Linked DNA regions of Stegostoma tigrinum. The protein of the gene in region 2 purifies or fractionates together with the protein of the main gene of each other region. This does not show direct contact. Links are inferred from orthologs where the notes say so. Each region holds a gene or a part of one and is shown on either strand. Other genes may lie near its edges.

The links.
Region 1: the proteins of neurabin-2-like (region 2) and WD repeat-containing protein 48 purify together in Homo sapiens (affinity purification with mass spectrometry; 3 studies listed by BioGRID and IntAct, with this or other methods). This does not show direct contact. The link is inferred for Stegostoma tigrinum from reciprocal best matches to the Homo sapiens genes PPP1R9B and WDR48.
Region 3: the proteins of neurabin-2-like (region 2) and ppp1cb purify together in Homo sapiens (affinity purification with mass spectrometry; 4 studies listed by BioGRID and IntAct, with this or other methods). This does not show direct contact. The link is inferred for Stegostoma tigrinum from reciprocal best matches to the Homo sapiens genes PPP1R9B and PPP1CB.

The regions. Positions count from the first base shown.
Region 1 is NC_081355.1:148,392,439-148,400,538, reverse strand, and holds the start of WD repeat-containing protein 48, read left to right. Parts: upstream 1-5,082; 5' UTR 5,083-5,108; coding exon 5,109-5,156; intron 5,157-8,100. UniProt on the Homo sapiens protein: Regulator of deubiquitinating complexes, which acts as a strong activator of USP1, USP12 and USP46. Enhances the USP1-mediated deubiquitination of FANCD2; USP1 being almost inactive by itself.
Region 2 is NC_081384.1:21,255,915-21,263,374, reverse strand, and holds the start of neurabin-2-like, read right to left. Parts: upstream 3,045-7,460; 5' UTR 2,444-3,044; intron 1-2,443. UniProt on the Homo sapiens protein: Seems to act as a scaffold protein in multiple signaling pathways. Modulates excitatory synaptic transmission and dendritic spine morphology. Binds to actin filaments (F-actin) and shows cross-linking activity. Binds along the sides of the F-actin.
Region 3 is NC_081357.1:18,405,556-18,413,336, forward strand, and holds the start of ppp1cb (serine/threonine-protein phosphatase PP1-beta catalytic subunit), read left to right. Parts: upstream 1-4,682; 5' UTR 4,683-4,767; coding exon 4,768-4,819; intron 4,820-5,102; exon of another isoform or gene 5,103-5,197; intron 5,198-7,781. UniProt on the Homo sapiens protein: Protein phosphatase that associates with over 200 regulatory proteins to form highly specific holoenzymes which dephosphorylate hundreds of biological targets.

The DNA.
Region 1 (8,100 bases), on a different chromosome or scaffold from region 2:
CCTGCTCTTGGCCATTATCCTTCCACTCGTTGCAGATTCATGTGCTTATCTAAACATCCCATAAATGCCCCTGTCATATCTGCCTCCACCACCATCCCTGGCAGCTCGTTCCAGAGTCTACCACTATCTGTGTCAAAAAACCTGCCCCTCACATTTCCTTTGAGCTTTCCCCCCTCATCTTAAATGTACGTCCCCTAGTGTTAGATATTTCAACTCTGGGAAAGAGATTCTGAACATCAATACTGCATGTGCATCTCATAATTTTATGGACTTCTATCAAATCTCCCCTCAGCTTCCGCAGCTCCAGAGAAAACAACCCAAGTTTTTCTAGCCTCTCTATAGGTCATACCTTCTAATCCAGGCAACATTCTAGTAAACCTCTTCTGCACCCTCTCCACAGCCTCATCCTTCCTGTAGTGTGGTGACCAGAATTGAACACAGTACTCTTAAGTGTGTGTCCTAACCAAACACTTATAAAACTGCAACATGACATCCTGACTCTTGTACTCAGTTCCCTGACCAATAAAGGCAAGCATGCCATATGCCTTCTTTACCACCCAGCTACTTGCATGACTGCTTTCAGGGAGCTATGGACTTGAATCCCAAGATCGTTCTGTACATCAATTCTGTTCAGAGTCCTGCCATTAACTGTATACTTTTCCTTAGTATTTGATTTCCCAAAGTGTAGTTACTCACACTTATCCAGATTAAACTCCATCTGCAATTTCTCTGCCCACATCTGCGACTGATCTATATCCTGCTGTATACTTTGAAAACCTTCTACACTATCGACAACTGTATCGAACTTCGTATCATCCGCAAACTTACTAACCCAACTCCCAACATTTTTATCCAGGTCATTTATATATATATCACAAACGGCAGAGGTCACTGTGTGGATCTCTGTGGAACACCACTAGTCACTGACCTTCAGCCAGAAAAACATCCTTCCACCACTACCCCCTGCCTTCTATGGGTAAGCCAATTCTGAATCCATGTGGCCAAGTCACCATGGATCCCATGTATCTTAATCTTCTGAGTGAGCCTACCATGAGGGACCTTGTCAAAAGCCTTACTAAAGTCCATGTAGACAACACCCATTGCTCTAACCTCATCAATCACCTTCATCATCTCCTTGAAAAATTGAATTAAGTTAGTCAGACATGACCTGCCCTGCACAAAGCCATGCTGACTGTCCTTAATTAGGCCGTGCTTTTCTATATGTGATTTATGTAAATTTCGAAAGCCTTTGACATGGTCCCACATGGAAGGCTGCTCCAACAGACCCAATGGGATCCAAGGCAGGTTGGCAAAATGGATTCAAAATTGGCTTGCAAATGGGAGGCAAAGGATGATGGTGGAGGGTGTTTCGTAATTGTAAGCCTGTGACTAGTGGTGCACCACAGGGATCAGTGCTGGGACCCTTGTTGATTGTTAAGTATATTAGCAATTTGGATGTGAATGTAAAAGGTGTAATTAGTAAGTTTGCAGATGGTACAAAAACTGGTGGTGTTGTCGACACTGAGATGGATGGTCTGAGGTTATAGTCTGATATTGGTCAGCTGGTAAATTTGGCGGAGCAATGGCAGATGGAATTTGATCCTGATAAGTGCGAGGTGATGCATTTTGGGAGGTTTTATAGGGGAAGGATATACACAGTGAATGGTAGCTCCCTAGGGAGTACTGAGCAACAAAGAAACCTTGGTATACAAGTCCACAGGTCCCTGAAAATGTCAGTACAAGTAGATAGGGCAGGGATGAAGGCATACGGGATGCTTGCCTTCGTTACCAAGAGAGAAGACCAGAAGCAGAGAACTTCATAGAGCATTGGTTAGGCTACAGATGGAATGCTGTGTGTAATACTGGTGTCCACTCTATCGAAAGGATGTGATTGAACTGGAGAGGGTGCAGAGGAGATTCACCGGGATGTTGTCTGGGATGGAAAGTCTCAGTTATGAGGACAGGCTGGATAAAATGGGTAATGTTCCTTGGAGCTGAAGAGGCTAAGGCATACCTGATTGAAGCATACAAAATTACGTGAGGTATAGATAGAGCATATTGTAAGAATATTTTTCCACATGGCAGAAGGCTGGGGTTATTTTCCCTGGAGTGTTGGATGCTGAGAGGTCACGTCATAGAGGTTTATAAAGCCATGAGAGGCATGGATAGGGTAAATAGTCAAGGTCTTTTCCCTGGGGTGGGGGAGTCCAAAACTAGAGGGTGTAGGTTTACGGTAAGAGGAGAAAGATTTAAAAAGGATCGAAGGGGCACCTATTTCATGCAGAGGGTCGTGCGTGTGTGAAAGGAGCTGCAGAGGAAGTGGTACAGGGTTATCTCTGATCACAATTATAGCCTCACTGCGAAGCATCTTCCAGGGATGCCTAACCTGAAGAAGTTACCCTCCTCCCTCCGGACCAACCTCAGGAAATCTCTCTCCCACTGCAACTCTCTTGTAATTCGGTCCACCTCCCCCTCTCTCCCTATTTATTCCAGTTCCCTCTCCCCATCCCCCTCTCTAATGAAGGGTCTAGGCCCGAAACGTCAGCTTTTGTGCTCCTGAGATGCTGCTTGGCCTGCTGTGTTCATCCAGCTCCAAACTTTGTTATCTTGGATTCTCCAGCATCTGCAGTTCCCATTATCTCGACTTGAGGAAATGTTTCTTTTTGCCAAGAGGGTGGTATAGATGTTGGGGAGGCAATGGCCTAATGGCATTGTCGCTGGACTGTTAATCCAGAGACCCAGATAATGCTCTGGGGACCAGGATTCAAATCACGGCTGGTGGAATTTGAATTCAATAAATATCAGGAATTAAGAATCTAATGAAGACCATGAATCCATTGTCGACTATCAGGAGAAACCCATCTGGTCACTAATATCCTTTAGGGAAGGAAACTGCCATCCTTACCTGGTCTGGCCTACATGTGACACCAGACCCACAGCAATGTGATTAACACTTAACTGCCCTCTGGGCAACTGTGTTGAGCAATAAATGCTGCCTAACCAGCAACACCCTCATCCCGTGAAAGAATAAAGGAAAAAAGATATAAATGTGCTGCCTGAGAGAGTGATGGAAGCAGGAAGTCTCACAACATTTAAGAAGCATTTGGACTGGCACACAAAACGTCAGGGCATAGCAGGCTGTGGACCAAGTGCTGGTAAAAGGGATTAGCGTAGTTTGATGTTTGGTGGCTGAAGGGCCTGTTTCTACACTCTAAGACTCTATGACTATGGCCTATTCCTACTCAAGCGTAACTGGAAAACTCTTGTCATTTTTTATGTATTGAGTCCACTCAGGTATGCCACAGGTCTCTATGCTTGTCTGAGAGTGTCCTCAGCTATATACTGATCTCAGTAATGCTGAAAGAACTGGTCCAAGCCTGTCTTGTAGACATTAGAACTCTCATTTCCAAGTTTTCCTCATTTCTTCCTTGGGCCCCATTTACAGCACATCGACAAAGTACAAATTACAAACAGAAAGTGTTGGAGATATTCAACCAGGGCTAGGCCAGTATTTATTGCCCATCCCTAATGCCCAGAGGGCAAAGGCAACCACATTGCTGTGGGTTTGGAGTCAAATGTAGGTTAGACAAGGTAAGGATAACAGTTTCTTTCCCTAAAATAGCCAGATGATTTTATTTCTGACAATCAACAACAGTTTAATGTCGCCATCAGACTCTTCATTCCAGTTTTTTTTACTGAATTCAAATTCCACCATCTGCAATGTTGGGATTCAAACAAGATATCCTAAATTAATCTAGTCCCATTCGTCAGCATTCTCTAAACCCTTCCTATTCACATATCCATCGAGATGACTTTTAAATGTTGTAATTGTACCAGCTCCTCACCACTTCTTCTGGTAGCTCATTCTATATACGTACCAGTGTCTACATGAAAAAGTTGCCCTTTAGGTCCCTTTTAAATCTTTCCCCTCTCATCTTAAACCTATGTCCTCTAACTTTGGACTCCCTTCACCCCAGGGAAAAGACCTTGTCCCCAGAACATTACCTAGGTCTCCAGATTAACAGTCCAGCATTAATACCACAAGACCATCCAGGTCAATAGACTCCAGAGTTTAAAAACCAGACAGGATAGCACACCGATGCTTCATCAGAGGCTGCACTGAGGATGTTACCCAACATGGTAAGGAAATGTCTGCGGAACAACAAACCAGCTCAGCGAGCCAACCAACCTCAACACCCACAATCCAAGCTACAAATCTATTCCAAAACCTTAGAGGCCATCATCTTCCCCAGAAGGATAAGTGGTCTCAAAGTTTTGGTTATGGTTTGTCTTCAACAAACACAGGGAGTGCTGGAGAAACCTAGCAGGTCCACCAGCATCTGCTGCCTCACAGTGCCAGGAACCTGGTTTCGATTCCACCCTCGGGTGACTGTGAGGAGTTTGCACATTCTCCCCGTGTCTGCGTGAGTTTCCTTAGAGTGCTCTGGTTTCCTTCCACAATCCAAAGATTTGCAAGCTAGGTGGATTGGCCATGCTAAATTGCCCGTAGTGTCCAAGGATGTTTAAGTTAGGCAGGTGAGACATGGGGAATGCAGGAGGTGGGAGATGGGTCTAGGTGGGACACTCTTTGGAGGGGCAGTGTGAGCTTGTTGGGCTGAATGGTGTGTTTCTATACTGTAGGGATTCTATGAGCAGAAACAGTCAACGTTTCGAGTCTGGTATGGAATGCATTCAGAAGTGATATCGGAGTTGAAACATTAACAGTTCTGCTCTCCACAGAGGCTGCCAGACTTGCTGAATGCATCTGGCTTTTACCTCGGTGTTTGATTCAGATTTCCAGCAGCCACAGTATCTTGCCAAGGTTTTACTTCACACCGTAAGATACTTTAGTGCAGAAGTTGGCTCAGTTTTGCAGATGCTGGCCATTTTAATGTTTGTTTTGTTTTAATTTCAGATTCCTGGCATCATCTCGTAGCATGCTTGGTTACACATTGATGGGATAATTTGAGGGAGGTGTGTCAATGCGTGCGTGTCACTGACTGGGAGAGACAATGCCTCCAGGTGAGGAGGGCCCTACCTGCTGGCCCCGCCCACTCACTTCCGCCCGCCGCCGGACAGGAAGTGACGTCGCGGTGTCAACATGCAAAATGGCGGCCCATCATCGGCAGAATACCGCGGCCCGGAGGAAAGTCCAGGTGAGGGGCCTGCGCGACCGTCTCGGTCCCTGCTTCCCCGACCGCCCGGATGGGAGCCGCCACCTTCCTCACTTCCCGCTCCCCGGCGCCTCTCCACAGCCCTGCCCAAATCCAGCGCTTGCAGCCGCGATCGGGAGGAGGGAGAGGGGAAGAGGAGAGGCGATTAAGGGGGGTGGGAGGGAGAGAAGGGAGTGGAGGAGAGGGGATGTGGGATGGGGAGGAGAAGGGACGGGGAGTTGTTGGGAGGGGGTAAAAGAGAGCAGATTGGGGAAGTTGTGGGTCTGGAGGGAGGGGATGTGGGAAAGTGGTCAGGAAAGAGAGAGAAAGGGGCTGGGGATGGGATAGAGAAAGCAAGATGGGAGAGTGAGGCACTTTGTGGGGAGAGGGGTTCACGGCCTGTGCTAGGGCCCTCTTCCCAAATCTCCCCAACCCCCTTTTTTTTGCTGTCCCCACCCTGGTCCACTGTCATGTTTGCAATATTCTAGTTTTTCTGGAAACCAGTCCTTTCTTGCTGAACTTTTGTGTCCAGGAGTCATCTGTGATCTGCTGTTTGTTTTATTGTAAGACTTAATGTTAGAGATTTGAAACAAAAAAAAATCACTGGAAAAACATGGTAGGTGAGGAGAAAACAGAGTTAATGTGTCTGACCCTTCTTGAGAACTGATTAATTCTGAGCTATCACTCTTTGGGACCTGTGTTTCAGTGGTTTCAGCTTCATCTGCTTTCTCTCCCATCAATTTAGTTTTGTTTGTACAGTTTCCTTTGTATTCTGTGTGGCAGTGGTTTGTTGAGTACTTTTGAAGTAGGGAGGGAAGAGCCTCCTTTGGCACAGAAACACACTAGCATAACCCAAAGTGGGCCAGATGGCCTGTGTTTGCTGTGAGTTCTGTTAAGACTTTTAAATGGTATTATGCCTGTGCATTACTTGTAGCCTGTTGCTTCAAATTGCTGGTATCAATTACTCCATCAGCAGCAGTGCTGCAGTTATTTCATCATACTGATGTTCTTTTGCTCAGTATCCTAGATTTTGCACCTCAGTTTGTGTACTTTCAGGTAAGTGATCTTTTGCAAGTTTCCTGTGCAAAATGTAAGTCTTCACTATTATCTTCATCTGCAGTTCATATATTTTTCAAACTTACCTTGTATTTCAGAAGACCCAACATGCACTCTGTAGAAGGGCAGAATAATCTGTAGTGTTTGAATACCTGAATGGCTTGATTTGCAATTAGAATCACAAATTGTGCATTTTTTCATTAAGTTTGTTGGACCATGGAATGTGTTGTCAAAAAATGTGGTTGCACCTTGTCAGGGAAATTTGTACGAATCTTTGAAACAGTAGAGTGCATGGCAATGGGGAGAAAGTGGTACTCAGATGAATAATAAGTTGCTTTTGCAGAGCACAAGTGCCTGCACTTTTGGGAGCTATAGGGCTTCTCTTGTGATGTAAACGTCCATGGTTCCTTTATAGTCAAGATAGAGATGTTTTCTGAAGTTTGTGCGATGACACTTAGGTAACTGGTTTTCTGTGAATGAACATGTTAAGCTCTGTGAGGATTAATATTCTGGTTTGCTTTGCTATCTATTTAAGTGTTGATTTAAAACTAATTTGGTTTTGAAATAAACTGTAGAAAATCCTCTTGCTTCCAGTGACATTGACAAACTGTTGAGCTTTTGTTAAATGCTTTATGAATTTGTCTGTACTACTTTTTTTATCTTGACATCCTGCAACCTCTTCAGCGAGCCAGTATTGCACATTCCGAAATGTACCAAGTGCAAAACAAGGAAACGGTTCGTAGTCACGGAGGTATTGTGCTGGGCAGTTCTAAATGGGTCTACAAAGGGTGTCATGACGGGCTATGCAAAAGACTTGAGAAATTGCTACCAAGGCTGAAGGCATCGTTTATGCTGAATGATTCAAGAAGCTGATAAAGCATTAGCTGCTGAGGTGATTTGGTGGCCTACATGTAGAGGGAAACATCCAATATTTTATTGTGGTCTTTCTTCGTCAGAAGTAGCCCCAGCCTTAACTATTAACTTTTTTCCCCTCTCTTGTCACACAGTTGTAGACTTATTAAATATTGCCAGAGTTTTGTTATTTTCAGCTTTCAGTATGTGCAGTCTGTTTAAGCTGTGATTTTTCTCAGACGAGAGTTGACAGCTTCTGATCTGTTCAAGATTGTCAGGGTTTTGGATAGAGCAGGTAGGAATTGTTACCTTATCTAGATAATGGGAACTTAGAATCCATAGGTTTAAAATAACTGGCAAAAGAATTAGAAGGGAAATTACAAATGTTAGTACATGTGGTTGTAAAAACCTGGAATGCACGGTTTGATAGGGTAGTGGAATGAGATTCCATAGGCAGTCAAATAAAAGCAAAAAGTAAGCTACAAAGTATGAATCTGAAATAAAAGCAGAAAATGCTGGCGCACCTCCCCATGTCTGGTACAATCTGTGGAGACAGTAACAGAGTCAATGTTAAGTCCAATATGACTGAGTCCTATTGGATTCAAAACATTAATTCTATTTTTTCTTCTCCATAGATGCTGCAAGTCATGAGTTACTTAACAACATTTTCTGTTTTTATTTTGAAAGGCAATTTAGATTTGAATTTAAAGGATACAGATTTGCAGGGAGCTGATGAAAAGGCAGAATTGTGGGGCTAGATTGGACAGGTCTTTTTTAAAAAAAAGACCTGTCCAATTCTCTTCCTTTTGGTCCAGCCATATTCCATGATTCTGCGCTATGCAACCAGCGCATTTTTGATGCAGTATGACAACTTTGGATGTCGTCATATTGTCTGGTTGTGGCCTCTGCTGTTTGGTTTGCATTTTAACATGTAGAGATTCAGGTCCTGTTGTTACAGCTGACATTGAGTCTGAAACAGTTTGTGATAGCAAATGTGTTACTGACAGCAGATAAAAATCACTATATAATGGTCCTGGAA
Region 2 (7,460 bases):
ACTACTGGTGGCACTATATTGCCTCAGTTTTGTGCTATGTGACTTCTTAACCTATTCAGCAGCGAAACCTTCATTCCTACCAACTATATATCTCTGTTTCATATAAATTTGTTTGTTTTTACTGTTAAGTGATAACATGTAACATTAAACCACGTAAAAATAAGAGAAAAATATTTGGCTTTAAAATGGACATTGGGTTATATCTGAAAACCATGTGCAATTTTCATGACAAAGGTACAGCATGAGAGATTACTAGTTACATATAAAATTGTGCTTTCCAGAATTTAAGTTGACATTTGATCTCTAAGAATAATTTAGTGAAAGTGTATTTTACCTGAAAGATTTGGAGTTATTGGCCAAGCAGTCTATCACTATAAAAAAAACTTCATTTGCAGTATATAGTACTCTCTGTGTATTTCATGATTGCACTTCACCTTGGAATGTTCCTCCTGAAAAAAAGATGCTGGAGTACTACTTAAAATGTTTGTTTTTCCTTGTTTTGTCTAGTCTCCTAAATTACATGTTACTACATTTTCTTTTCCCAAGTTACCTGGACTGACTTGTCTATCCAAAGCAACAGGAGTCCTCAATTACATTTTAACTGTAAATATAATTGGTCTCAGATATTTCTCATGTAATTGTATATATAAATACAAGTTCAATCTAAAAAAAATCAGCAATTCAATCAGTAATCACTGCTACTGGCACTACTTTAACTCTAACCAACACTTATGAATCTGCAAACATCTGTTTCATAATCAGACCATTTGTCTACTAAAAATTGCACTACAGCTATTACATTAATGGAGTACACCTACAATTCAATGTTGTAAGGACTGTATTTACAATATGATCTTGAATATGGTCTTTAGGATACAGCATGGCTTTGAATCAATAACAGTTGAAGTTAAGATCATTAAAACTTCAAAGACAGAAGTAGCAGTAGGAGTAGGCCTTTCAGTTCTTTGAGCTTTGTCTGTCATTTAATAAAATCATAGTTGATCATGCAATTCAACTCCATTTTTCTGTATCATTCCCATAACCTTTAATTCCCTTTGTGAGGGTTGGTTAGCTCACTTGGCTGAGCGGCTGGATTGCAATACCCAGATTAAAGCCAACAGTATGGGCTGAATTCCTGCACCAGCTGAGGTTACCCTGATGGACTCTCCTTCTCAATCTCAGGTAAGGGACCTGAGATGTGGTGACCCTCAGGTAGGGCTATGGTGACTTTTTGTTTTAATTCCCTTAGTATCCAGAAATATATCAATCTCTGTCCTGAATAAACTCAATAACTGAACTACTCTGAGAGCAGAAAACTCCAAAGATAGACAACACTTTGAGGGAAGACATGTCTCCTCATCTCAGTTCTAAATAGCCAAATTCTCAGTCCAAGAACCTTAATCCTGGCTTCACAGCCACAGGAAATTGCTCCAGAATTCATCATACAAAGGCCCCTGAGAATTTTATATATTTCAATTAGATCACCGCCGAATCTTCTAAATTCTAGGGAATCTAGGCTTTGTCTACTAAAAGGTTAAACTGTTAATACAATTAAATCTCCAATTCTTGTTGTCATTAAAGTGAAAATTAAATCAACAGAAGTCTTTTCCCTCATTTGGACATTTTGCATTAGCAAATGAATAGTTATATTAACTTTGCTCCCTGTTTATAAACAATTTCCTAGTGATTTAACAGTACAGGATAATAGACTCCTGATATGTCTGAACTCTTCAACACCATTGAATTATATTTCCATAACCTGTGCAGAAGAAGTTCAGCAATTAAGAATTAGATCCCACGAGTTCTCTTGGTGTTAAAGATTTTCTCAGATTTCACTTTCCATGTTCCTGTCATGTTTACAGGCATTCACAGAAGCATTCAACCCTTATAAATTACTGGCTTTACTAATTCAGATTAACCCTTTTTGTTTAGTTGCACTGAATATATAATTCAAAAGGCGTGCAAGCACACTTAAATAAAACGACTTGCATTTGCATTGTGCCTTTAACGATCCCAGGATGTCCCAATTATCTTAAAACTAATCAAATACATTAGAAGAACTGTTCAACAGAATTTTGTTTTAAGATGATCAAATACACGTGTGGTAGTATCTATTAAGCAATAATATGTCCCGTGTCTGTCCGTATACTGTATAAAGTACAAATGTTCTGAATGAGAATCTAGTCTCAGTCGCACTAGGATCCAGGAGAAAGCCACTATACAAAAGGCCTGACTACGTTGCGTTTCCTGCGCGTTATTTCCCATTTCCCTGATTAACTGTCATTTTAGCCCAAAACGTCGGATCCGGAAAGTGTTACAAACAGGAAACGTTCCCCCATTAGATTCTTTCTCTGTTTTTTGAAAGAAAAACCGTAAGTTGCTGCTGTCATTCAGCAATTGCAGCTTTGCGCTGGGGAGGAGAGGGAAAAGGAAGCTGACTTACATTGTAACCCGTTTGCAGTTTTGTTGTTTCCTTGTCGCTGTCTATGTTTCCTCGTCTGTGATGTGCCGCAATACTGGATTTCACCAGCTATACATGTCACATCGTCTTGACCCACCGACAGTCACGCTGCAGGCGGAGCTTCTACACAATACCAGAGCGTGTATTCATGTGGATGTCGCCTTTGTGTGTGGACTCGCAACCTCTTGCTGTATATTTATTTATCTTAGTTCATTTCAGGGAATGAAAAATAATGTTCCGTCACAAGCTCTTAGTGCGATAAGATCGTTATGCCTTCCATTCGAACCCTCTTGGATTCCTGGCAGCTCCGGGAAATATTCTTAAGGCAGTGACTATCAATTTCGACAATTATGCTTAAACAAACCCACCTCCACAGTCATAAAAAATATTCTCTAAGTAGTATTGGTGCTGTAATAATTATGTTAAACAATTATAAGCTCTTTCTATTGGTGTCTTCCTTTCCTGCCTTCTCTCCTGTTCCATACTGACTTGTAATTTATACCAAGACCTAATTACCCGACCGACACCCTTCACACACAAAAAAACCCTACAGCTCCAACTCAAATCCTTCATTCGTTTAGGAAATGGGACACACATCGAAAAAGAATAGTTACCCCTGATTGGATGAATGTAACCCCAATCTGTATTTTACAGCCAGTGGAAGCTGAGAATCTTGGTGATTGACAGTCACATCATCGCGGCGTTCAGATCAAATATATGCCCTTTTTAAAAAAAAGTCAGGTAGAAATGAATGGGTCAGCTAAAACACTGGAGCCAAATCATTTCTTTAAGACCTGTTCAAAGCTGAACAAAAATATTTTGTCCGTCTGACTGATCCATTGCTTTTATGAGTATATTAGGAGGTAAAGATTGTATGATTGTTAACATAATATGGAAGAAATATTCATTAATAAATGTATTCTCACACAGTAACCATTGTTCATTATGGCTTGGAATGTTGCATATCATAATAATGTTACTCTGATGTTTGTTGATTTGGGAATAAAGTCACCATAAATACAACTGGACCAGAGGACTGCTCCCTTATTTGAGAGAGACACGGTTCGAAGTGGCTTAACCTGTCGGTCACCGCACCTCAGGTGAGGGGAGGAGTTGAGAAGAGTCCTTCATGGTAATCTCAGCCAGTGAGGGATATTAACACATTCTGCTGGTATCATTCTACATTGCAAACCAGATGCCCAGCCAACTGAGCTGTTGTTGTAGCACCCTAATTAAATTCTAAAGGGAGAATCTTCCCACATCCTGAATGATGTGGGCTATGGCAAGAGAATTGGGAAAATTGCAAGGGAAGTCAAGCAAGGCCTTTCTCAAGTCACACTTTCCAATTAAGTTCCAAACATCAATAGGAGATTCTTGCCAGTGAGTGGCAAGAGATATACTAATGGAAATTACCACTCATTATCACCTTAATTATTACACAATTGCAGCTCATTAAGAAGCACTCTCCTAGCACATACCAGATTGATGCTATACTCTAAGAATTCCAGACATGAAAATCAGAGTAGGTACCTCCAGACTTACATTTTGGATTTCCAGCACCAATGACTCCACATTTGGAGGTGTTGGCATCCAAAACATGCCTGTCTTGCCATGCCATCATAGTACATCTTTGATCCACTTCAAAGATACTTCAGTATTGCACTTCAGGGGCTTTCAGAGATTCTGCCAGAGCCAGGGATTCCAGTGGTGACAAGAACTTCCATATGCAGCCATAGGGAGAATTGGCATGTATCAGAAGAGAATGGTGAGCAGGGGTGGGTAGTAGTAAAGGAGGTGAGTTTAGGACAATAGTGTGAGAAAACTCAGTGGGATACATGAGGAGAAACCTTCCATAATGCTCAACAAAAGTGACACTTTTCTAAAACAAGTAAGATTCAGCCCTGAGTGATTCAAAGAAACAAAGAAACCTACAGCACAGGAACAGGCCCTTCGGCCCTCCAAGCCTGCGCCGATCAAGATCCTCTGTCTAACTTGTCATCTATTTTCCAACGGTCTGTGTCCATTTGCTCCCTGCCCATCCATGTACCTGTCCAAATATATCTTAAAAGATGCTAATGTGTCTGCGTCTACCACCTCCGCCGGCAACACGTTCCAGGCACCCACCACCTTCTGTGTAAAGAACTTACCACGCATATCTCCCATAAACTTTCCTCCTCTCACTTTGAACTCATGAACCCGAGTAATTGAGTCCCCCACTCTGGGAAAAAGCTTTTTGCTATCCACCCTGTCTATACCCCTCATGATTTTGTAGACCTCAATCAGGTCCCCCCTCAATGTCAGTCTTTCTAATGAAAACAATCCTAATCTATTCAACCTCTCTTCAAAGCTAGCACCCTCCATACCAGGCAACATCCTGGTGAACCTCCTCTGCACCCTCTCCAAAGCATCCACATCCTTTTGGTACTGTGGCAACCAGAACTGTACACAGTACTCCAAATGTGGCCGAACCAAAGTCCTATACAACTGCAACACGAACTGCCAACTCTTGTACTCAATACCCCGCCCAATGAAGGAAAGCATGCCATATGCCTTCTTGACCACCCTATTGACCTGCGTTGTCACCTTCAGGGAACAATGGACCTGAACACCCAGATCTCTCTGTTCATCAAATTTCCCTAGGACTTTTCCATTTACTGTATAGTTCGCCCTTGAATTTGATCTTCCAAAATGCATCACCTCGCATTTGCCCAGATTGAACTCCATCTGCCATTTATCTGCCCAACTCTCCAGTCTATCTACATTCTGCTGTAATTGCTGACAGTCCCCTTCACTATTCATTGGCTGTGAAGCATCTTGTGATGGCTTGATAATGTTAAGAACTACTCAAACTATCAAAGTTCTTCCTTAAATGTAAAATACAATTATAAATAGTGAATCCTGTTCAACAGTCAACAAGACAGTGGTTATGTTTCATATTTGGGTGAGTATGAGATATGTCTTTGTAGAATTTCTAGGGAGCCCCAAAAGAAATGGGTAAAATTCACAGAAATTAGATACTCCCTATCATTTTTGCTATTATTTAGAAACACAAAATGTTCTAAAGGCAAATAAATGCAAAATTACCCTGCAGGCATATTACCCAAAAATAAGCAACATCTTGACTTTTTTTCAAATGCATTGCATTTTGCAATTATAATTCTGCAAAGCCAAAAAAAGTCACAAGGTAGGATGCCTTTGTTATATTTTGTAACGTAGGTTTGTCCCTTTCATTTGAATGGGTTGAAAGGATATGGAAAACATGATGGAAGAGTAGGCTCCACTCCAATTTCATCAGAAAGTACAAAGTGAATGGGTCATTTTCACTTAAGAGGACTGATTCTTACTGAGACATTCATAAATGCAACTATCGACTGGCAATCAAATATTCCTTGTAACAATATGTACAATGATGGCTATGCATATTTAGCTTCAGGGACAAAGAAACATTAAAGGAAGTTGTTATTCATTATCATCAAGATTAACCATTTAACAAAGCTAAAGGTTCCAAATTCATCAACGTCTCAAAGTAGGGTGGAAGGCTGTGAGAAGGGTGCAGAGATGCTTCACTGTGATTTTGACAAGCCTATTGTGCAGGTAACTGCATAACAAATGAAGTATAAAGTAGATAAATGTGTATTTATCAACTTTGGTAGCAAAATCAGTAAGATTGATTATCATTTGAATGGCCATAGGCTGGGAAAGAGAGAGAGGTGCAGTGGGACACATGTGCCTTTGCATACCAGATGCAAATCATGCAGGTGCAACAGGTGAAGAAGGCAACAAATGGAACGTTGACCTTCACAGCAAGACGATTTGAGTAAAGGAGCAGGGATGTCTTGCTGCAGTTGTACATGCCTTAGTGAGTAAAATACATATCCTCAGTACTGTGTGCATTTTTTGTCTCCTTACCTAAGGAAGGTTGTCCTGATAATAGAGAAAAGACAACAGAGATTAACTCAGCTGATTCATGGGACAGCAGGTCTGACATATGAAGAGAGAATGGATTGGTTAGGACTATGTTCACTGGAGTTTAGAAGAATGTGAGGGCATCTCATGGAAACATAGAAAATCCTAAACAGGATTAATCAGGGTAAATGCGGAAAGGCTGTTTCCAGTGACCACAAGACCAGAACCAGATGTACATCGAGTTTTGAGAAGGTGTATATCTAAGGATACAGAGTACGCCATTTAGAACTGACATGAGGAGAAATGTCTTCACTGGGGGACTGGTGAATGCATGGAATTCTCTGTCACAGAATGCAGTTGAGGCCAAAACATTGAATGTTTTCAAACTGAGTTAGGTATAGCTCTTAGGGCTAAACGGAATCAAAGGGTATGAGAAGAGAGTGGTAACAGGTTGCTGAACTGGACAATCAGCCATGATCATATTGAATGGCAGAGCAGGCCCAAAGGGCTGAATGGCCTGCTCCTATTTCCTATGTTTATATGTCCAAAACTCCATGAGTTAAAAATCACAGACAAGGTCTTTCATATCTTGAAGAAGATGATACAAAAGTGTTGGCCACAGAAAAAATACTGAGGAAATAAGCCAACCTGTTTACGCATGCTTGGTCTTCATCCACTGAAGGTCTAAGATCAATGTAAATATTTCTGACCTATAAAGAAAATATTGTACCAAAAGTATGTCTGTGTTTTCTGATTATCCCTGATCAATGTATTTTATAACAAAAAAGAGGTTTATGTTGTCTTATTAATGGTGTTCAAGTTCCTATTAAATAATTCCAGCAGGGAGCTTTTGTGAGTTTTAAAATAAACAGTTCATTTATTCTCACACATTTATCCCGAATTTAAAACAGGTCTCAAGCACTCATTTCCCCACACACAAAGTTGGTTATAAGTATATGAATTCTCACAAATTATGGGGCAACTCCATCTCTGGTTTACATTCTCCAAACCCATCAAGCTCCCTCACAATTGTCTAAGTTTCAGTAAAATCACCACTCACTGTTCTGAACTCTTAAAAAATAGAAGTTTAACT
Region 3 (7,781 bases), on a different chromosome or scaffold from region 2:
TTCATGATGCTTCAACATTTCAAATTTGTCTTGAATTCCATGATGCTTTCTGAGCGTCAGTAGTTTTACGTTTAGATTCTGTATCTCCCTATGTGCCAATCTTCAAGTCTTCTAATAAATGACAGTCAGCCAGTGGAAGGCAGCAGTCAGAGGAAAACACTGCTGTGATATCAGTGGATCTGTCCATGAGTAGTTGAGACACAAATACAATAGCTGTTAGAGAAGGATGAAAACCCCTTACAAAAGCACAGACCATTTTTCAACTTTGCATGTTATCCTTGTGCAGGGGGCTATGATAATGTTCTCTATATCATTTCGATTTGGATTACTTGAGGCCAAAGCGAAAACAGTATTTTTTTTTCCATATCTCACTTCTTAGACACACACTTTTCTCTTCACTGCCTTCATGTGTTCTTAACGTACTCACCTGAATTTGACACATCAAACACAAGTCCAGACTGATCACAGCAGCGTGAATATAGAAACAGGAGATAGTCATTCAGCCTCCAGGGCCTATTCCACCATCTGCCATAGACCATAGGTGATCTGCATGTTAACTCAGTTTACCCACCTTTTGTCCGTATGTCACATTATGCTTGCATCAAATGATACTATGAATTTATCTTTAAAATTCAATTGACCCAGGAAATCAACTTCTCTCTGAAGAAAATTTGAGATTTACAAAAACCTTTCCATGAAAAAGTTTTTCCTGAATGCATTTTTAAATGGTTTTGTTCAACTAAGGAGGAGATGGCCTAGTTGTTTTATCCCTCCAAAAATTCTGTTCTGGGACATAGGTTTGAATCCTGCCACGGTAGTTGGCGGATTTTAATTCAATTTTATAAAAACCTGGAATTGAGAATCTACTTACGACCAAGAAACCATTGCTGATGGATGAGGAAAAAGCTGTCTAATGGCCTTCAGTGAAGGGAATCTGCCATTCTCACCTCATCTGGCCTACATGTTACTCCAGACCCACAACAATGTAATTCACTCTCAAATGTCCTCTGAAACAGCCTGCAAGCCAATAAGTTCAATGGTACTACAAACAGGCAACAAATGCTGGCTAGCCAGCAACATCTACTTCCCATGAGTGATCCAAAAAAAATTAAGATTAGCCCTTCTTGTTTGGAATTCTACACTGGAAGAAGTGGTTTCTCTGTATCCATCTTATTCAGCCCCTAAATTATTTTCATTGCCATAATTTGTTCTCACTAATAAGATCAAGGGTACATTGTCTAAGCTTGTGCAACTTACAAACCCTAGTTTCAGTGGCAGATTGGCTGAAGCACATGCAGAGATGGACAGCAAAGTATCATCAGTAGTGTTATGAAGCAGCACATGCTCAGTAATAAACTGCTCTGTGACGCACAGCTTGGGTTCCATCAAGGCCACTCAGCTCCTGACCTCATTACAGTCTTGGTTCAAATATGGACAAAAGAGTTGAATTACATTGCCGTTGATATCAAGTCTGCATCCAGCTGAGTTTGGCATCAAAGAACCCTAGCAAAACTCCAATCAATGGGGAACTCTCTACTGGTTTGAGTCATACTGGGCACATAGGAAGATGGTTGTGGTTGTTGGAGGTCAGTTAACTCAACTCCAGGATATCTCTGCAGGTGGTCCTCAGAGTAGTATCCTAGGCTCAGCCACCTTCAGCTGCTTCATTGACGCCCTTGCCTCCATCATAAGGACAGAAGTGGGAATGTTCATTGATGATTGCACAATGTTCAGCACCATTCAGGATTTCTCAGATACTGAAGCAGTCCATGTTCAAATGCAACAAAATCTGGGCTGACAAGTAGCACATAACATTCATGCCACACAAACGCCAAACAGTGACTGTCTCCTATTGGAGACAATCTAACCACCATCCTTTGACATTCAATGGTGTGACCATCACTGAATCCCCCACTATCGACATCCTGGAGATTAGCATTCACCAGAAACTCAACTGACTCACCACATAAACATAGTGGCTACAAGAGAAAAGTCCGAAGCTAGGAATATTTCAACAAGTAACTCACCTCCTGAATCCCCAACGCCTGTCCATCATCTACAAGCACTAGTCAGGAGTGTGATGGAATACACCCCACTTTCCTGGATGGGTACAGCATTCATTCCTTCCACCATCGACATCAGTTGCTGTAGTGTGCAGTATCTATAAGATGCATTACAGGAATTTGCCAAAGTTCCTTAGACATTGCCTCCCAAATCTAATAATCACTCACATGTGGAAGGGCAACGGCAGCAGTTACTTGGGAACACCTGCAAGTTCCCCTCCATGTGACCTACCATCTTGGCTTGGAAATATATCGCCATTCCTTCACTGTTGCTGGGTCAAAATCCAGGAATTCCCTCCCTAAAGCCATTGTGGGTCCACCTACAGCATGTGGACGACAGCAGTGCAAGAAGACAGTCTACCACCACATACTCAAGGGCAACTAGGGACAGGCAATAAATGCTGGCTCAGCCAGTGCGGCCCATGAAAACTTGAAGGAATTAAGGGGGAAGAGTTGATTGCCTTCTACCATTTTCAGACATGGGGTATGGAGGTGAATGAATGGGGTGGCACGGTGGCTCAGTGGTTAGCACTACTGCCTCACAGCGCAGAGATCTGGGTTTGATTCCAGCCTCAGGCAACTATCTGTGCAGAGTTTGCACATTCTCCTTGAGTCTGCATGGGTTTCCTCCCATATCTAAAGATGTGCAGGCTAGGTGGATTGGTCAAGCTAAATTGCCCATAGTGTTCAGGGATGAGTCGATTAGGTTGGTTAGAGGGGGATGGGTCTGGGTGGGATGCTCAAGAGGGCCAGTGAGGACTTGAGTGGCCTATTTTGACACTCTAGGGATTCTATAATGATTTCCATTTAGCTGCATCCACTCCTGTTGAGGCAGCCAGCACACACACATTGTGTTGCTTTATCATTTTAATTATTACAGCATAAAGATTGTGAGCTATTATGCTGCTGGTTGAATGTTCAGAAATTAATCTCAGTTGGTAATCATGAACCACCCAACTGCAATGAAGGGATTCTGTCTTCCTCTTCCACGCTTCCACTTGCTTCCCTTCCTCATGTTCATTTCAAGGTAGTCTCCAGATATACGGTGGCAAGGGCTTTGTTTCTCATGATAATGATGATGGGCTGAATGCCTTCCCTATTTGCTGTAACAATTCTGTGACACAGAGGACTCTTGGACGCTTGAACTTTTGAGTACTTGAGGGGTCCTCTGAGCAATCGAGGCAGGGTAATCATTGCTTTAGTACACCACTGATCTTCTCTCTGATGTTCCCATGTTGGCAGCATGGAACTCATCGCCAGCATTTTCTCCATTCACACCTTAGGGCAAAGAGAGCCATGTGCCCAAATGATATCGCTTGTTTCCAAGTAGACAGGTGTGTTGTGATTGCATAAAGAACAGTGGGAAGATCTGACTGCTGCAGGATGAATAAGTTTTGGCTGCTGACAGGATACCAGGTATTTACCAAAATGATATTTTAGACATTGCAGCAAACCAATGTTTTCGTGAAATGTTAGCTCTTGACATTTCCCTGTTTAGACGTACGGCCCACAGAACCACATACATGCGCAGTCAATGACACTGCATTGTTGGAAAATGTGGTAACCTAGAAATGCCAACTCTGTCCATTTCTGCTAAGATAGAAACAACAGCGTCCCTCTCCTGGACTATATGATCTCTGTCAACTTACTGATGTAATGGTAAATGCTAAACTGGGGAATGTTAACTATTGGGATTGAGATCAGAAGAAATTTCTTCACCCAACAAGTGATGAGCTTGTCGAATTCTACTACCATAGAAAGCAATCAAAGCCAAACATTACAGAGATTGTAGGAATTGCCGATGCTGGAGAATCTGAGATAACATGGTGTGAAGCTGGATGAACATAGCAGGCCAAGCAGCATCAGGGGAGCAGGAAAGCCTTCCTGCTCCTCTGATGCTGCTTGGCCTGTTGTGTTCATAAGGCCAAACATTACATGATTTCAAGAAGGAATTCAGTACTGGGTAGAGCTAAAGGGGTATAAGGATATGGGGGAAAGCAGGAACTGGCTACTGAGATAACAAAGTGAGGAGCTGGATGAACACAGCTGGCCAAGCAGCATCTTAGGAGCACAAAAGCCGACGTTTTGGGCCTAGACCCTTCATCAGAATTGGATGGTCAGCCATGATTATGATGAATGGTGAAGCAGGCCCAAAGGGCTGAGTTAATGGGAACTGCAGATGCTGGAGAATTCCAAGATAATAAAATGTGAGGCTGGATGAACACAGCAGGCCAAGCAGCATCTCAGGAGCACAAAAGCTGACGTTTCGGGCATGTCCCTTGACCACAAGGACTGCAATGGATCAACTTTTCGCGGGCTATTAGGGATGGGAATACGCGCAGGCCTAACCAGCAAAACACATATCCCATGAAAGAATAAAACAAAAGCATCCTATGAAGGCCAGAATGTTCCACAGACTTCCCTGTAAGGAGGAAGCAATACTTGTTCAATGAGCAAACATTCTCATTCACTTTTGCCCTCTGTTGCCGTGTTTATCCCAGTACTGATAGGGTTACGCAGTGAAGAAGCTGCTCTCCTCCGCTGTTGTGTTTTATTCCAGTACTAGCAGGGTTACTCAGCGAAGAAGCTGCCCTCTTCTCTCCCTCTCCGTCGTTGCTGTGTTTTATTCCAGTGCTGACAGGGTTACTGAGTCCCCTCCTCTCTCCCTCCTCTACCGCTGCCCTCGGCTGAAGACTGCTGTAAAATGGCGGACGGAGAGTTGAATGTGGACAGTCTGATAGCTCGGCTGCTGGAGGGTGAGTCGCAGAATCAGTTGGAAAACAGCCTTTTGCTTTTTTTTAAAAAAAATCGTTAATGGTCCCCGGAACAACCTTAGATAACGTTTGTTTGATTTGCGAGGGATCCGGGTTTTTGCATTTCGAGAGGTGGCTCGAAGAAACAGCTCTTCACGGGATTAAAACAAACGCCTTTCCCCCGCCGCCGGTTTTTTTTTGTTAGAATTTGGAATGGTGTCGTTTGAGACGGAAAACCTTTGTACGATTTCGTTATAAAAACACGGAGGGATAGGTTTCGTTTTACCTGAGTGTGGCCTGTTCGGGCTCCGGAGCCTCGGCGTTGTGCTGCTGACAGGGTGGGCGGACGGGCGATGAGGGAGCCCAGGAACTCGGCGCCGGTTTAACCGACGACAATTTCAAATGGTTCCCAACCGCCTGCCTCTCGTGAGGGTGGAAATTGAGTTAGATTTTTTTTCAATTCGGAGTCAAAAGCATTTCATTTATAGTATTCAAAATATTGTAATATTACCCAGAGTTTTTTTTGAGTAAATCTCTTTTTTTTAATAAAACGAGTGAGAATTTTTTTTCCATTTAGGCATCTCTATCGGATCACGGTCTTGTAAAACATTTTAAATATTTAGCTTTGCAAGTTTGAAGGCCTTTGTTCTTTTCCAAAGGCTTGGATTCGAGTTAGTCAATCCCGGCAAGTTTCTATTTGCTGCATTTAGTTAGTGACTAGTAAACGTTTAATTATCGTATCTTTCGTTTGTGAGGGAAACTTTTTTGTCTTTTGATCCTCGTGTCTCCTTGGGGTGTGTCGTTTACTCTCTCATAGTGTTACGGTAAGGAAGGCCGTCGTTGTAGATCTCCTCAATCCATTCCTTACAAGGAGCCTTTCACTGGCTCTTGCCTGATGTCAACTATCTGAAAATATTTCATGTGTTCTTGCTTGTGGGTGTGTTTTTCTGTCCCAGCAGCAACTAGATTACATTGCCCATTTTTCATTCCGAGGAAAAAGGCTATCCCTCATTCCAGCTTAGTTCCATCTCCAGAAGACAATGGACACAGTAAACAAATTAATTTAAGATGGGGATGTAGTGGACCTTTCACTGATGGCTGAATAAGCCAATTTTTGAGAGGCAAGTTCTGCCACAAATGCCAGATATGGAGCTAGAGCATCATTGTAGGTTGATTTTGGTGCTGGTGGCTGTTCCCAAGCTGCGGTAGCCTTGGTCATCGTGGTACCAATTGGATACATCAATGGCTTAACAACAGGAGACACAATATTGGTGGAGGGTTACTTTTCAGACTGGAGGCCTGTGACCAGCAGTGTTCCACAGGCATTGGTCTTAGAACATAGAACATAGAAAAATACAGCACAGTACAGGCCCTTCGGCCCATGATGTTGTGCCGTGGAATGATCCTAATCCCAAAATAAAATAACCTAACCTACATCCCCCCAATTCACTGCTGTCCATGTGCATGTCCAGCAGTCGCTTAAATGTCACTAATGACTCTGCTTCCACGGGCAAAGTATTCCATGCGCTCACAACTCTCTGGATGAAGAACCTCCCTCTGACATCTCCTCTATACCTTCCTCCTAACACCTTAAAACTATGACCCCTCGTGGCAGTCAATCCTGCCCTGGGGAAAAGTCTCTGGCTATCGACTCTATCCGTGCCCCTCATTACCTTGTACACCTTGATCAGGTCACCCCCGCTTCCTCCTTCTCTCCAGAGAGAAAGGTCTGAGCTCCAAATTGGGTCCAATTTTGTTTGTCATTTGTATTAATGATTGGGATGAGAATATAGAAGGCACGGTTAGTTTCTTTTTAATTCATTCACAGGAGAGGGTGTTGCTGCTAGGCAGCATTTATTGCCCAACCCTAATTGCCCAGAGGTCAGTTAAGAGTCAGCCACATTGTGGGTCTGGAGCCACATTAGATTCTTAATTCCAGATATTTATTGAATTCAAATTCTACCCAATGTTATCTGGGTCCAGCAATAATAATGGCATTGTAGACAGTGAAGAAGGTTTTCTCAGATTACAGAGGAATCTTGATCAAATGGATCAATGGGGCAAAAAATAATGGCAGATGGAGTTCAATCTGGATAAATGTGAAGTATTGCATTTTGCTACAACAAACAAGAGTGGGGAGAATGGAGACAACAAGGTGTAGAGCTGGATGAACACAGGCCAATCAGCATCAGAGAAACAGGAAAGCAGACGTTTCGTGTCTAGACCCTTCAGAAATGGGGGAGAGGATGGGGATTCTGAAATAATTAGGGAAAAATGGGGAGGCGGATAGAAGATGGATAAAAGGAGAAGGTACGTGGAGAGGAGACAGACAGGTCAAGGAGATGGGGTAGGAGCCAGTAAAGGTGAGAGTGGGTGGGGAGTTGGGGAAGATTTAGGTCGGTCCAGGCAGTACAGGCAAGCCAAGGAGGTGGGATGAGGCTAGTCGGTAGGAGATGGGGGTGGGACTTGAGATGGGAGGATGGAGAGGTGGGAGGTCAGGCTAGGGAAGTGGGTACGAGCTGGGCTGGCTTTGGGATGTGGCTGGGGAAGGGGAGATTTTGAAACTCGTGAAGTCCACATTGATACCATTGGGCTGCAGGGTTCCCAAGTGAAATATGAGATGCTGTTTTTTGCAACCTTCGGGCGACACTGTTGTGGTACTGCAGGAGGCCTGGGATGGACGTGTAGTCTAAGGAGTGGGAGGGGGAGTTGAAATGGTGAATGGAGACCAGTCACTAATGGTATTCTGCAGTGATCAGTCTGAGGTTCTCTGTTGTCTGTATGTATAAATGATCTCAAGAAAAATGTGGGTGATCTGATTAGCAAGTTTGCAGATAACACAAAGATTGGTGGAGTTGCTGTTGGTGCCAACGATTGTGAAAAGATACAGCAAGATGTAGATTGGCGACTTGGGCACAGAAACGGCAGATGGAGTTTAATCCAGTCAAATGTGAGGTGATGCATT